4 separate regions of the Mus musculus genome follow, and regions 1, 2 and 3 are each reported to be linked to region 4. Evidence: microRNA targets listed by miRTarBase, many of them from high-throughput screens and not tested one by one. Region 4 holds a microRNA gene; each other region holds the end of a gene's coding sequence.

What was found. Region 4 holds the annotated microRNA mmu-miR-19b-3p (UGUGCAAAUCCAUGCAAAACUGA, at 2,193-2,215, shown strand). A microRNA usually pairs through its seed, bases 2 to 8, with sites in the 3' UTR of a target mRNA and lowers its output. Matches are read on the target gene's strand: a 7mer-m8 pairs with bases 2 to 8, a 7mer-A1 pairs with bases 2 to 7 and ends in A, and an 8mer does both.
Region 1: miRTarBase lists Slc35b4 as a target of mmu-miR-19b-3p. Seed matches in the 3' UTR shown: 7mer-A1 at 1,823-1,829 and 7mer-A1 at 290-296.
Region 2: miRTarBase lists Map3k12 as a target of mmu-miR-19b-3p. Seed matches in the 3' UTR shown: 7mer-m8 at 741-747.
Region 3: the mRNA of Atp6v1b2 is a reported target of mmu-miR-19b-3p. Seed matches in the 3' UTR shown: 7mer-m8 at 635-641 and 7mer-A1 at 1,180-1,186.

Annotation. Positions count from the first base shown.
Region 1 is chr6:34,155,858-34,158,871 of GRCm38, forward strand. It overlaps Slc35b4 (solute carrier family 35, member B4), which reads right to left. Exons shown (of 10, transcript NM_021435.3): 10 at 22-2,769. The coding sequence ends at 2,523. Among named protein-coding and RNA genes, the nearest start is that of Gm13855, 20 kb to the right of the region's middle.
Region 2 is chr15:102,497,436-102,500,448 of GRCm38, reverse strand. Map3k12 (mitogen-activated protein kinase kinase kinase 12) reads left to right here. Exons shown (of 16, transcript NM_001163643.1): 16 at 273-2,802. The coding sequence ends at 368. It overlaps Pcbp2 (poly(rC) binding protein 2), which reads right to left. Exons shown (of 15, transcript NM_001103165.1): 15 at 390-1,960. The coding sequence ends at 1,924. Among named protein-coding and RNA genes, the nearest start is that of Map3k12, 18 kb to the left of the region's middle.
Region 3 is chr8:69,111,999-69,115,010 of GRCm38, forward strand. It overlaps Atp6v1b2 (ATPase, H+ transporting, lysosomal V1 subunit B2), which reads left to right. Exons shown (of 14, transcript NM_007509.3): 14 at 432-1,720. The coding sequence ends at 571. Among named protein-coding and RNA genes, the nearest start is that of Slc18a1, 24 kb to the left of the region's middle.
Region 4 is chrX:52,741,192-52,744,205 of GRCm38, reverse strand. Mir19b-2 (microRNA 19b-2) reads left to right here and starts at 2,140; the gene lies at 2,140-2,223. Mir363 (microRNA 363) reads left to right here and starts at 2,439; the gene lies at 2,439-2,513. It overlaps Mir92-2 (microRNA 92-2), which reads left to right and starts at 2,278; the gene lies at 2,278-2,368. It overlaps Mir20b (microRNA 20b), which reads left to right and starts at 2,014; the gene lies at 2,014-2,093. It also overlaps Mir18b, Mir106a and Kis2.

The sequences.
Region 1 (3,014 bases), not on the chromosome of region 4:
ACAAACAAACAAACAAATGGCAAAGAGAAATGACTTTTATAAAGAGTGATTTTATGGATGTATCCAGAGATGGTCCTATTAAGGGGTTAGCTGGTGTAGGGAGGACAAACAGCATATGTGTGCTCTTATTTGTAGCTCCTGAGCTTTGTAGAGAGACATGAAACCACGGTGTGTATGCGATCTGAAGGTAGAAGGCAAAACTGTTCAGGGGAACAGCAGGACCTAACACGGGGAGAGGAGAGCTTGGGGGAAGTACTCAACTGCAGGGAAGTGTCCAACCACAGGGCCCTGTGCAACAAGCATACACAATGAGAAGGAAAACAGAACCTTTAGAAGGGCAATTTTACAAAACTGTAACTAGTGCCGGTTACATTTTCTTCTGTCTACTGCACGGCAGGAAGCAGCTGGGGCACTTGCTAGCTTGAGCCAGCAGAGCCCGCACTCTTATCTGTTCTTACATCTCCTTCAACAAAACCCACAAAGGGATACACATTCTGAAACCCTAACCGGTCCAGTTAGATTGTATCAGCCAGTCTCAGGGAACTACAAGCTGTGTGCTACTTCTCCCAACATAAAAAGGGAAGCTCTAGGTAACTGAAGGTTATAGCCTGTTAGGAGTAATCAGAATGGAGCCTCAAGAGCCCCGAGGGACAGATTCTTCTGTTAAACTGGAAGAAAAAAGTACTTTTTATTACTGTCTTTTTAAGGGGGCTTTTAACACTTGGTATTTATAGCAACATTGGTCCAGGCAACCCCACATATTTCAAAGTAGCTACAGAGCTTCTGGGACTGTGAATGGGTTCACATCTAATTCAGGTCTTTGAGAACAGACCATTACCAGCACTGGGAAGCTGTCAATGGCCAGAATGACAATCAGTCTGCAAACCTGGGGACTTAGGTGGAGAAACAGTATCTGCATTTAATGTAACAGAAAAAAGTCTTAACTGCCTTCCCAGGGGACCCAGAGGATTAGGACAGTTCTCTTTGCCTTCCCAGGGGACCCAGAGGATTGGGATAGTTCTCTTTGCTGCTGCTGTTCAGACCCATCAAAGAGCATCTTCAGAGGGTGCAACAAAGAGCTACAGTGAGCCGAGGAGATGGAGAGCCACTCCTCAGTCTGAGCACAGTCAGCACATAGTGGAAGAATGGAAGGCTGTCGTCTGTGCGAGAGAAACATTGTGTGTAGCTGTTTGCAGAGGAGCAGATGGCTAGGTGAGGGTAATGAGGGTCTGGCCCTAAGTGGGGACGAGGAAAGAAAGCAACACAATGTTCTTGTTCTTCAATCACATACAATCCAGCTAAGGGCACACAAGCGCCACATGCTGTGTGACAGGGTTACTCTTCCTCAAGGGGATCCAAGAGAGGACAATCAGACCTTCAGAGTGATCAGCGGAAAAGAGCCAGGCCTGTTTCTGTATGTAAACATGCTGTGTCATGCCACCTCCCAGGCACACCCAAAAGCAGTCCCATATCTATGGAACAAGAAGACTTCACCCTGCCGCAGCTGGGGTTTGAGCACACTCACGCCTGTGTATCAATCAATCATCATCGATGACTTGACAGGTGACAATTCTCAGAAGTATCTTCTGGCTACCAGGTCTTAACGCCTCTCACAGACACATATTTGAAACCCACAGGAGTCCCATGGAAGTGTGTGGCTGGGTTCACAGGGGCAACAGTCTCTCAGGGTGCTGAAAGAGTGAGCTGTATTGGGCCACACTTCCTTCTCCATCTCCGTAAACAGGCCAAGGGGCTTCACGTGGGAGATGGAAGGAAAGGTCTCCCTCTTCTCGATCCACTTTCAAGTTTTCTTCCTTTCTAATGTGCAATGAGCGCTGCAGGACTGCTCTAACTACAGAAAGCAACAGGTGAAAGAAGTGTGTGATCTTTGCATTGACTAATCAAATAACGTGAAATGTGCGTGGTGGGATCCAGCCGTCTACTCCAGCATCACCGGCATCCAGCTCACAGATCTGCTCATGGGGACAACTGCTTCTCTCCCAACACCAACACGCTGGAGGGAGTCCGGCCTCATCACTCCTGGGGTCTAATTTTTCGCATGTCCACTGGATCACTCAGTGCCTGATTGTGCCTGGAATGTTGGCTGTGCTGCAAAGTGCTTAAGTGTGCAGGGGTGACGGGAGGAAAGAGGTACATAGCAAAAAGGCATCGGTAGCAACAAGTGCGACACAGGTAGAAAACTAGAAGCTCTGAGACTTGGAATTCAACAAATATGGTTCTGATGTTCTGGCAAAGAAATAGAAAAGCAAATGCAGAGGCTGCCCGACGGTCTGCCTGGTAGCCTTGCTTGTTTTGTTTATTCTATCTCAGGGATGCCTATGTGGAATCTACAAATGCAGACTCGTGAGAGCAGATGAGTCCCATCCTTTTGGAGGAAGCTCTGGAGCCTTTCTGCTTCAATACTCTGGTAATTTGGCATCAGCTAAAGTGAAATGGTGGCCAGACCTGCAGCAGAGGCCGCTCTCACATAACACCGTCTGTCTGTCTGTCCCAGGCAGACCTCAGTCCTTCTTGTCATCCTTTTGCAGCTCACTTTTTGTGGTCCCGAGGTTTTTCCACACCTCTGTGTACATTAAGGTTCCAATGAAGACAAACGAGGTGCCCAGCCAGTGCCACATAGTGAACTGGTTCTGGAAGTACAAGATAGAAAAGATGAGGCTCACAAACTTGCGCAGAGTCACAACCAGTGTGACGGTGAGGGAGGTACACTCTGTTGTAAGGATGAACACACCCCGGATGCACACATATCTGGAGGAGTGGTTAAGGCTGTTCTCTGTAAACTAGGGTTTAGGTTCAAGTCCTGGCTTCAACTTGACATGCTGAGAAAACAGGAAGAATGCTGTGTGGACTCTCCTTAGCAGGACTTGCCGAAGGACTCTGGCCCTGCCATTCCTAAGCCCATTACTACGGATTGTCCTTACAGTTTATAATGAAGGTCATCTTGAACTGAATGCCGGAGTGCCACTCTCGGGAAGGGGATCCTACTCAACTTA
Region 2 (3,013 bases), not on the chromosome of region 4:
ATTTGAGAATCTAAAAATCATTATTCCATAACCATTAAAACAAATATCCATGTAAGTAGTAGTTGAGAATTAATGGTTCCGAGCATATAGTGCCTGATGTTTAATTTGTGTGGCAGCTTTGATGACAGTAGTCATCAAGGTATCCTAAAAGGAATCTAGCATAGTGCCTTGGACCTATGAACAGATTTAAAAAAAAAAAAAAAACTCCACTGTTAATGTAAAAGAAGGGTCCCCAAGGCTCCCCCACCTCACTGCATTTCTACTCTTCACAGGGCCCCAATCCTGAAGACTCAGACTGTGACAGCACTGAATTGGACAACTCCAACAGCATTGATGCCTTGCGGCCCCCAGCCTCCCTTCCTCCATGAAAGACACTCTTATTCCTTGTACATAGAGAAATATTTATATAAATAATATATATGCGCCACATAATCAACAGATAGATGGGGCTTTCTTAGCCTTAAGCCAGGCTTGAGAGTGAACGACGCCCCTGACCAATTACCGAATAAGTTCTGGGGACACTGGCAGCTGTGGAAATGAATGACTCCGAGTACTACCCTAGAGCTATAAAGAAAGGAAGCTGGCCCCTTCTTGCTTCACCCCATTCCTTATGTTGAACAAGCAAGTAGGCAATAGAAAAGCCAGGCTTGTCTCTATACTGTCTATCCCTGAACACTGGAGGGGCAGGTAGAGGATTCACTTAAAACTGCACTTTTATTTTCCGTTTACTGTTTACACATTTTGCACTTGGGAGGAGGGAAAGAAACTAAGGCTGGGTCATCCCTCTGAGGTTTCTCAGGTGGCAATGTAACTCATTTCTTTGTTCCTGTTTCTCTGCCCAAACCCTGGCTTTGGGCCAGACGACTAACAGCATGTGATGGCTCAGGCTGAAGAACTGGGGTGCTGTTAGTCCCCACTGTTATCTTGGTGCCTGGTAGGGGTGGGGACTGTCATATTGTAACCCCTGTGAACAACCTTGAAATATAACCACTCCATGCAGGCCCAACTGTCGAGGGTTTTCTTGGTGAATGAGTAGAGTGGTATAATACATGGTTTCAACTTGGATTTAAGATTTTATCTGAGGAATTTGGACAAGTTATTTTCTAAGTTAACATAAATGATAGCAGGTAAACTTTTCTAAATGATTTCAGAACAAGGAGGTCTCAAAACACCTATGGAGAAAACTAAATGAACAATTACTAGAACTTTAAAGTATGCAAGGTAGAACAAGGGGCAGCCATTCCCAAGTTTACTATCCTTACTATCCACGAGTTCCTGCCCAGCTCCATAAATGCACCAGCTGCTCTACAATCCTAGGGTAAGTGTAATTGTCAATCTCCGTAAACAAGTTTTCAGAGGCTACCCAGTATCATGGAGGGGGAGGTGATTGAGGGCAAATTAAAAAAATTGGAGTGGTAAAAAAGGGAAGAAAGTCCATTAATTCTATTGAAACTGAATCAGGGCTCTCTGGAAGTTAAAAGGTATAAAAATAACATCAGACAGGAACAACACCCACGTAAGTCACTGTGGCATCCAGTTTCTATTCACAAAGAAAAAGCTCCAGTCCATCTTTTAATTTTTTTTTTTGAAAAATTCCTGACATTACAGAACTAAACTGAAATGTATTAATAATCCACTCTTACATTTCCATGACAAACAAAAATTCATGAGCCAAACAAAAACAAAAACCAAAAAACAAAAGGGGGAGAAGCTTATAAAACTAAATATGGATATCTCAGCGTAACTGCTGAACAGAGAAAGGAATTAAAACACTTTAATTAAAAAATCATGAGTGGATGATAAAGTGTGTAGAAACTGAAAATTTACAAACTATTTTAAAACCTGGAGTCGCTGACTGTTCAGAAACTACACAGATGGATCATGGGTGGTGAACAGCAGGATTATGGATGGGTCTGCTCTGTTCTAGCTGCTCCCCATGCCACCTGTCTCCGAGGAAAGCCTGTAAAACACAAAGAAGAATAAGTCAGCTTACCTAGCTACAATTCATCACACCAAGGTATTTCAAGGTTTCTTAGATTAGCTAGTACCATAGTGCACAAGGTTGTTTATGTAACACCACTACAACCAAGGTTCCTGAGGTGTTCTCAGAAGAACATAACAAATGATGTTAAGTTGGTGACACTGTCTCTTCACGTTTTACTCTTTGCAAACTGAAAGCATTTCTAGAGAACATTAGGCTTCAAGGAGTTGATCCTGTCGTGTTTACACTAGAACAGCCCACCAATGTGAAGGAACTTTGTGTTGGGAGCCTAACATTTAAAGATATTATGTAATTTTAACAATACTTAAAGGGAGGAGCAAGAATAGGAACTATAGTGAAAAATTGAATTATTGTTTTCAAGCTTATAATTTTAGGACAAATACCAACAAAAAAACAAGTATCAAAGCTTCAATTCAGTTCCTTAGCTCACTCTTCAAAATCCAAAACCTGTGGCCTTACTGGTACCAAATTCTCCTTGTAAACATACCTGGCTACAGTGCCTTTCTACTTGTTTCAAATAGGTCATTTGAGGTCCTGGAATACAATTAAGCTTTGAGAGAAAGGCATTCAGTGTACATTTCATTATCACTGGGTAGCAGCAAAATGCCTCATTCTGAACACAACTAGAGGTGTCTCAGGTCCACACCACAAGCTTAACTTCACAAAGAGCCAACTGACATCCATTTGTGATGTTTGGCTTAATACCATGTGCACTAAATGTACAAATACCACAGGGGAAGGGGTATATCCCGGAAACTAGAAGTCATTCTTCAATTAAAATATGTTTTCTTTAACGTCAGAAATTATTTGTCCTGTCTATGTTACTACCGTAATGTGCCTAAACTTTAAATATACATGTGAGATCTCAAACTATGCAGAGTGAAGCCTCTCATAGGTAAAATGCAGCATAGAGGGGAATCTTTAGTTTTTTCAAAAGGAAGGAAGAGATGTTCAAGCAATGAGGACCTGCCCACAATATAAAAATGCCAGAAGTGGCAATGTCCACCTGGA
Region 3 (3,012 bases), not on the chromosome of region 4:
TAGCCTGGGCCACTCAATAAAACCCTGTCTTAAATTTAAGTTTTGAAACCATTGGCCTGTAATATAGTCTGCTTTTTGGCATTTAAGGCTTCCTCAGAATCTCCATGGATTCTTGCAAGCCTAGCTTTTTTCCTGAGTCCTACAGTTTACTTTGTGCCGACCTTTGAACAGAATGCTGGTCTAGTTTGCATTGTTTAAGGACCTTATCTGTCTCTGTCCATCTCATCCCTCATGTCCACCAGCACTGCCCCGTGGGCCTCTCTTCACCCCTGATCTCTGTGTTACTTTGTACCCTCATTTCTGCATCTCAAATCCTCACCCCTGTTTTCCTTCCTGTATTTTATGCCTACCCTGCTTGCTAGACCACAGAGTGCTGAGTGACACGGGTCAGTTGGCAGTGCCCTGTGGTTAATTCAGTATTAATATTCTAGGTCCCTATGAAAACCGAACTGTTTATGAGACTTTGGACATTGGCTGGCAGTTGCTTCGAATCTTCCCCAAAGAAATGCTGAAGAGAATCCCTCAGAGCACCCTGAGCGAATTTTACCCTCGAGACTCTGCAAAACACTAGTAGCTGCTGCTGCTTGTGTGGCGTGACCCTCTTGTGAAGTACTGGTTCTGTTTCCTGATTCCTTTTGCACTCCTCCATCCCACCTGTGAGTGGGAGTTTACCTGTTACCCTGTAATTAAAAACAAAGGCTAGGTAACTATTGTGCCAGTGTTGACAGTTTAAACTGCTAACAGATTGAGAGATCCCTGCTCAGAAACCTCACCTTTAGTGCTTTCTTTAAAGAAGCTGAGGGGTGAAGTTTGCTTACTGATGTATCTATTTGTACAGATAGTGGAGAGCTAGTTGCTAATAATGTCTTGTTTGGGTCTCCCAAACCCTACCTCTCAACTCCCTTAAGAGTATCACTGTTCTGAAGCTAAAATGCTTCAGTCTCAAATTTAGGGGCAAAGTGGAGACTGGAAGAATTCTCCTTTCAGAAGAACCACGAGGCTCTGGCTGAGCCTCCCTCTGGAGTGCTAGTGTACCTGTGGGTCTGTCCTCTGCTCTGTGCAGATGGGTTTTACTGTCTGCTGTGTTTTCTTACGAAAAGAGTTTCGTTCTGCCAGTGCTGTGAGTTGGGAATTCCTGCGTGGCGACTTTCTCTGAGGCCCACAGAGAATCAGGTAACATTGCACAGCCTGCGTTCTCCTGCAGTGGTGGCACGCCTTGTGCTGACGACCCCCACTGGGCTACAGTCACAGGAGAATTGAGACTTGGAAAAGGCTTGGGTACAATTAAGAAAAACCCTACATCCCACCCTCCTCTTGACGCGTTTCTGGTGGTTTCGGTTTCTGCGTTGCCCTCCAGATCCTGAGGTGGGCCGTGAGACGACTTGCTTTAAACTCTGTTCAATCCCCAGGCTTTCTGAGTCCGCTCTACCTTTTCTGGGTGATCTTGTGGCACATGTAGCAATGTTTCTTTCATTCCTGTCCCTTCCTGGCTTGAGCTCTTGGCTGTATTCTGTGTGCCTCTACCATGTCTGCTGTTTGGGTCTCTGCGCTGTGTGTTCTCAGGTGCAGCCATGACTCCCCACTCTGTGCATTCCACCTTCCAGTTGTTTTTCTCTGAGGGGGTAGTGGGGGGGTCAGCATGATTATATTTTAATGTAGAAAATGTGACATCTCGTTATAAATGAAAATAAATGTTAAATTAAATGGAAGTTACCTGAAATGACTCTGTGTTTTCTCTCGAGAGGAACGGCAGCAAGCAGGTGGGTAACTCGAGTCTTCACAGTTGTGATCTTCATGAGTGTGGCCTGTGTTAGTGTGTAAGAAATGTGAGTATGCTTCATATTCCTGAAGGCTTGAAGAAGGAAGGCATCTATGTGTCAAACTGTAGTGTCTGGTCCACTGCAGCACTCAGGCTGCAGTTATTAACAACCTTTATCAAGACAGATAAAGGGGCTGGAGGGGTGGCACAGCGGTTAAGAGCACTTGGCTATTTTTCCTAAACAGTTTTCTAAGTTCAGTTCCCAGCAACCACACGGTGGCTCACATCCATCTGTAATGGATTCAATTCCCTCGTGTGTGTGTGTGTGTGTGTGTGTGTGTGTGTGTGTGTGTGTGTGTGTGTGTGTGTGTGTGTGTGTGTGTGTTGAATAAATCTTTTTTAAAAAACAGATCAATCCTTCTGCAGCATTTAGGACTGCATTAAGTAGCACTCCTGCTAGTTTGTTAGTTTTTTAGTAAAGACTCTTTGTAAGGGACTCTTCAAACAGCTGACTTCTACTCAGCGGGTTGTTTGTATGAGTGAGACCATCTGTAGATGAACGTCATGTCTCGCCAGCGTGCTGCTTTCCTGTGAGCGTGAGTAGGCTGAAGTGTTGTCCTCAGGGTGGGCTGCTCTTGACATCTTCCTTGGCTTGTTGGAGGGCAGGTGAGCTCAATTCAGTGCACAAGGATCCAGTAAGATGTCGTCAAGAACAGGGTAGTGGGTGGCTCTGGCAGATCATGCCTGAAGTCCAGGCAGACAGAAGAATCAGGAATCCAAGGTCATATTCAAATGCTTGAGTTCAAGACTAATGTATTAGACTATACTGTGTTTAAAAAAGAAAAAATACAGCGGGCGTGGTGGTCACACCTTTAATCCCAGCACTTGGGAGGCAGAGGCAGGTGGATTTCTAAGTTTGAGGACAGCCAGAGAAACCCTGTCTCGAAAAAAAACAAACAAACAAACAAAAAGCCACACAAGCACTTCTTAAGGGATTTTTTTTTTAATGCAGAAGAGCATTAAGTGTAAGGAAATGGTTTTACTTGCTGGTGTTTTTCATTTATTTAAAATAAAAATGACATTCCATACCATAACCTATGTGATTTTATACCAAACCGTTTTTCCAGTTCAGGGTTGAACACCTTCCTCATGCTCGAGGAGCCAGTGTTGCCCTCTGCCATGGCAGCGAGGACCCTCATGACTCGTGTGGGAACAATGAGAACGAGGAGCCAGTGTTGCCCCTCTGCCATGGC
Region 4 (3,014 bases):
AGAAAAGCAAAGTACCTGAGTGTAGTTGAGGGGTGCCAGGCAACTCGTGAGAAAAGGACTCTCCCTTGTTGCTCTGAAGGTTTCTGGAGAACTTGTGGGTGGTCAAATGCCAGGGTGCACGTGGGGTGTGGGGCGGGAGGACTCCCGACCTACCTTGGTTTCCCTCCCACCAACCCGAGAATGGAGGGAGAGGCTTAAGCTTGGCGCGTTTTGGGGGCTTTGAATGGAGAACTCCGTTTCCCATAATGCTTTGTTTCTTTCTGTTTAATTTTGGTGGCCGCTAAGGTGTCTTGAAGACCTAAGCGCGTGGCATGACTGGCTGGAGCACACCCTGCGTTCCCAGGAGGTTCACAGATCTCTACTGGAGCCGCTGCTGAAGATGCGGGAATAGACCAGAGAAAATCCCGAAATGGTAAAAGACTGGGTCCTCTTTGCAATTTTAGAAGTTGTACAGCGACTTTCTAGTATATATGATGGAGAGCAGATGTGTTAAAGAAAGGTATTAGCTAGAAGGAGCTTTCTCTGGAGGGCTGAGGTATGGTTTTGCGAAGTTGAGTCAGGTTTTGTAATATATTTTTAGTGGAGGCAAAAATCTCTAGTTGTAGGAACCCAGTTCAAGAAGAAAAGTATAATAAGCCAATACTTGCACTATAGGAAGCAGATTTCATATTTACTTCAAAAGTTTTGCTAATTTATATTTAAAATGTTTTAAGAACTATCTTAGTCACTAAGTGGCTTCGAAAAGTTCCAACATTTAAAATATCCTTTCTCATTGAACACATTTCAAGTTTTGTGTCCCTGAAGTTTATTGGTGTCCCCCCATCAACACAAACATTCCATCATGGGAGGGAGGGAGCTCGTGACCCCTCAGACTGTCCTCTGCAGCATTTTCCTGGGTAAGATACACACTTGGAAATGAGAGAGGTTTTTCCTGTGGAAGATAATGACATGAAGCCAAAGAGCTAATCTGACTTCTTTAGGTTTAATGGAGAAAATGGGTCCATAAATGTTTAAACAGAAGTAGAGCCCTTTGAAATAGATGAAAATGTGACATCTCTAGGCCATCTGTGCGGTATGTGAAGAGTGTAAAACTGTTTCTTAAAGCGGCTCTGAAATTTCTATCATTTTCTCTTAATGGGCTGGGGGCAGGGATGCTTCATGTAATCAAACATAGAGACCTTCCGAGTGGCTCCCCAAAGCTCTGGATGAGCTCAAGACGTCAGTACTCACCCTAATGTTATTTATTTATTTTTTTGCTTACATCTTTTCCTGGGCTCTTGCCTCTTAGAAAACCATGGTGGATATTACAGCTCTGCAAATTTTCTGGGATGCGAATCTCAAATTTCCTTAGACGGAGAGGGAGTCCAAAATCCTCTTACTCTTAAGAGTCAGACATTCTGAGATTGCCAGTGTTATTCATGTTTAAGTCTGTGTAAATAATTGAGCTTATTAATGTTTGAAGTAACACAACCCCATTTGCACTCTTAACGGAAGGCAAACTTGTTTTAGAAATAGTAACTCACAGTTCACTTACTTGCTGTGTGTGTGTGTGTGTGTTTATCCAGGTGAGTCTGCAGATCTGGCAAAGAAGAGTTCGTGGAAGACTTCAAGGTTACACTCCTGGAGTATGCCTTGGCCATGTCAAAGTGCTAACAGTGCAGGTAGCTTTTTGAGTTCTACTGCAGTGCCAGCACTTCTTACATTACCATGGTGATTTAATCAGAGGCCGCTGAGTCCCCTGGTTTCTGCATAGTTAGATTGTGGATGTTTTTGAGCTGCTCCTTGTAATGTGTCTCTTGTGTTAAGGTGCATCTAGTGCTGTTAGTGAAGCAGCTTACAATCTACTGCCCTAAATGCCCCTTCTCGCACAGGCTACTTCTTACCTTGCATTTGAAAAGCATATCTTGAGAAATGATTTGAACGGCACAAGTTTCAAAGGCTCTTTCAGTGTTTCGCCGAGAAACAGATGGCGGAGACTGTAGTATACAGTTGTGTAGAAGAACAAGCTCGGATCCTAGTAGTGCCAAAGTGCTCATAGTGCAGGTAGTTTTTATACCACTCTACTGCAGTGTGAGCACTTCTAGTACTCCTGGATCAACCAAGGTCTTGTTGAAGCAACTACAGCGCAAGGACATTGCTACTTACGATTAGTTTTGCAGATTTGCAGTTCAGCGTATATGTGAATATATGGCTGTGCAAATCCATGCAAAACTGATTGTGGGAATGTGTACCTTTCTGCATCGTAATGGACACCTTTATGCACATCTTCAGCATCCATGCCCATTCATCCACAGGTGGGGATTGGTGGCATTACTTGTGTTAGATATAAAGTATTGCACTTGTCCCGGCCTGAGGAAGAAAGAGGGTTTTTAATCGTCTTTTAGTTTCTGAGTATTGTAAGTTATGTTAGACTGTAATTATGAAATGAACTGTTTTGCTGTTATCAGGTGGAACACGATGCAATTTTGGTTGGTGTAATAGGAGGAAAATTGCACGGTATCCATCTGTAAACCGCAGGACCTATGTGGACAGCCGTCTATCAGTGCTATAGTAAGATTGTAAAATCCTTTAGCTAGTCATTGCTTTGAACACATTTGGAGTGGATTTTTTTTTTTTTTTTTTGGTTTTTCAAGACAGAGTTTCTCTGTATAGCCCTGGCTGTCCTGGAACTCACTCAGGGTGGCCTCGAACTCAGAAATCTGCCTGCCTCTGCCTCCCAAGTGCTGGGATCAAAGGCGTGCGCCACCACGCCCAGCTTGGAGTCTAATTTTTTAAAACTACATATTTTTAAATATATTTGAAATCCTGACATTTTGATTGCACTGAATGTAAACAAACCTGAAATTTGCAAAATAAAGCTGATATATAAGTCTGAAAAAAAATGGGTTTCTTTTTTCTTTTTTAAAAGATTCTATTTATTTATTTATTTATTTATTTATTATATGACAAGTACACTGTAGCTGTCTCCATAGACACCAGAAGGTGGCATCAGACCCCATTCCAGATGGTTGTGA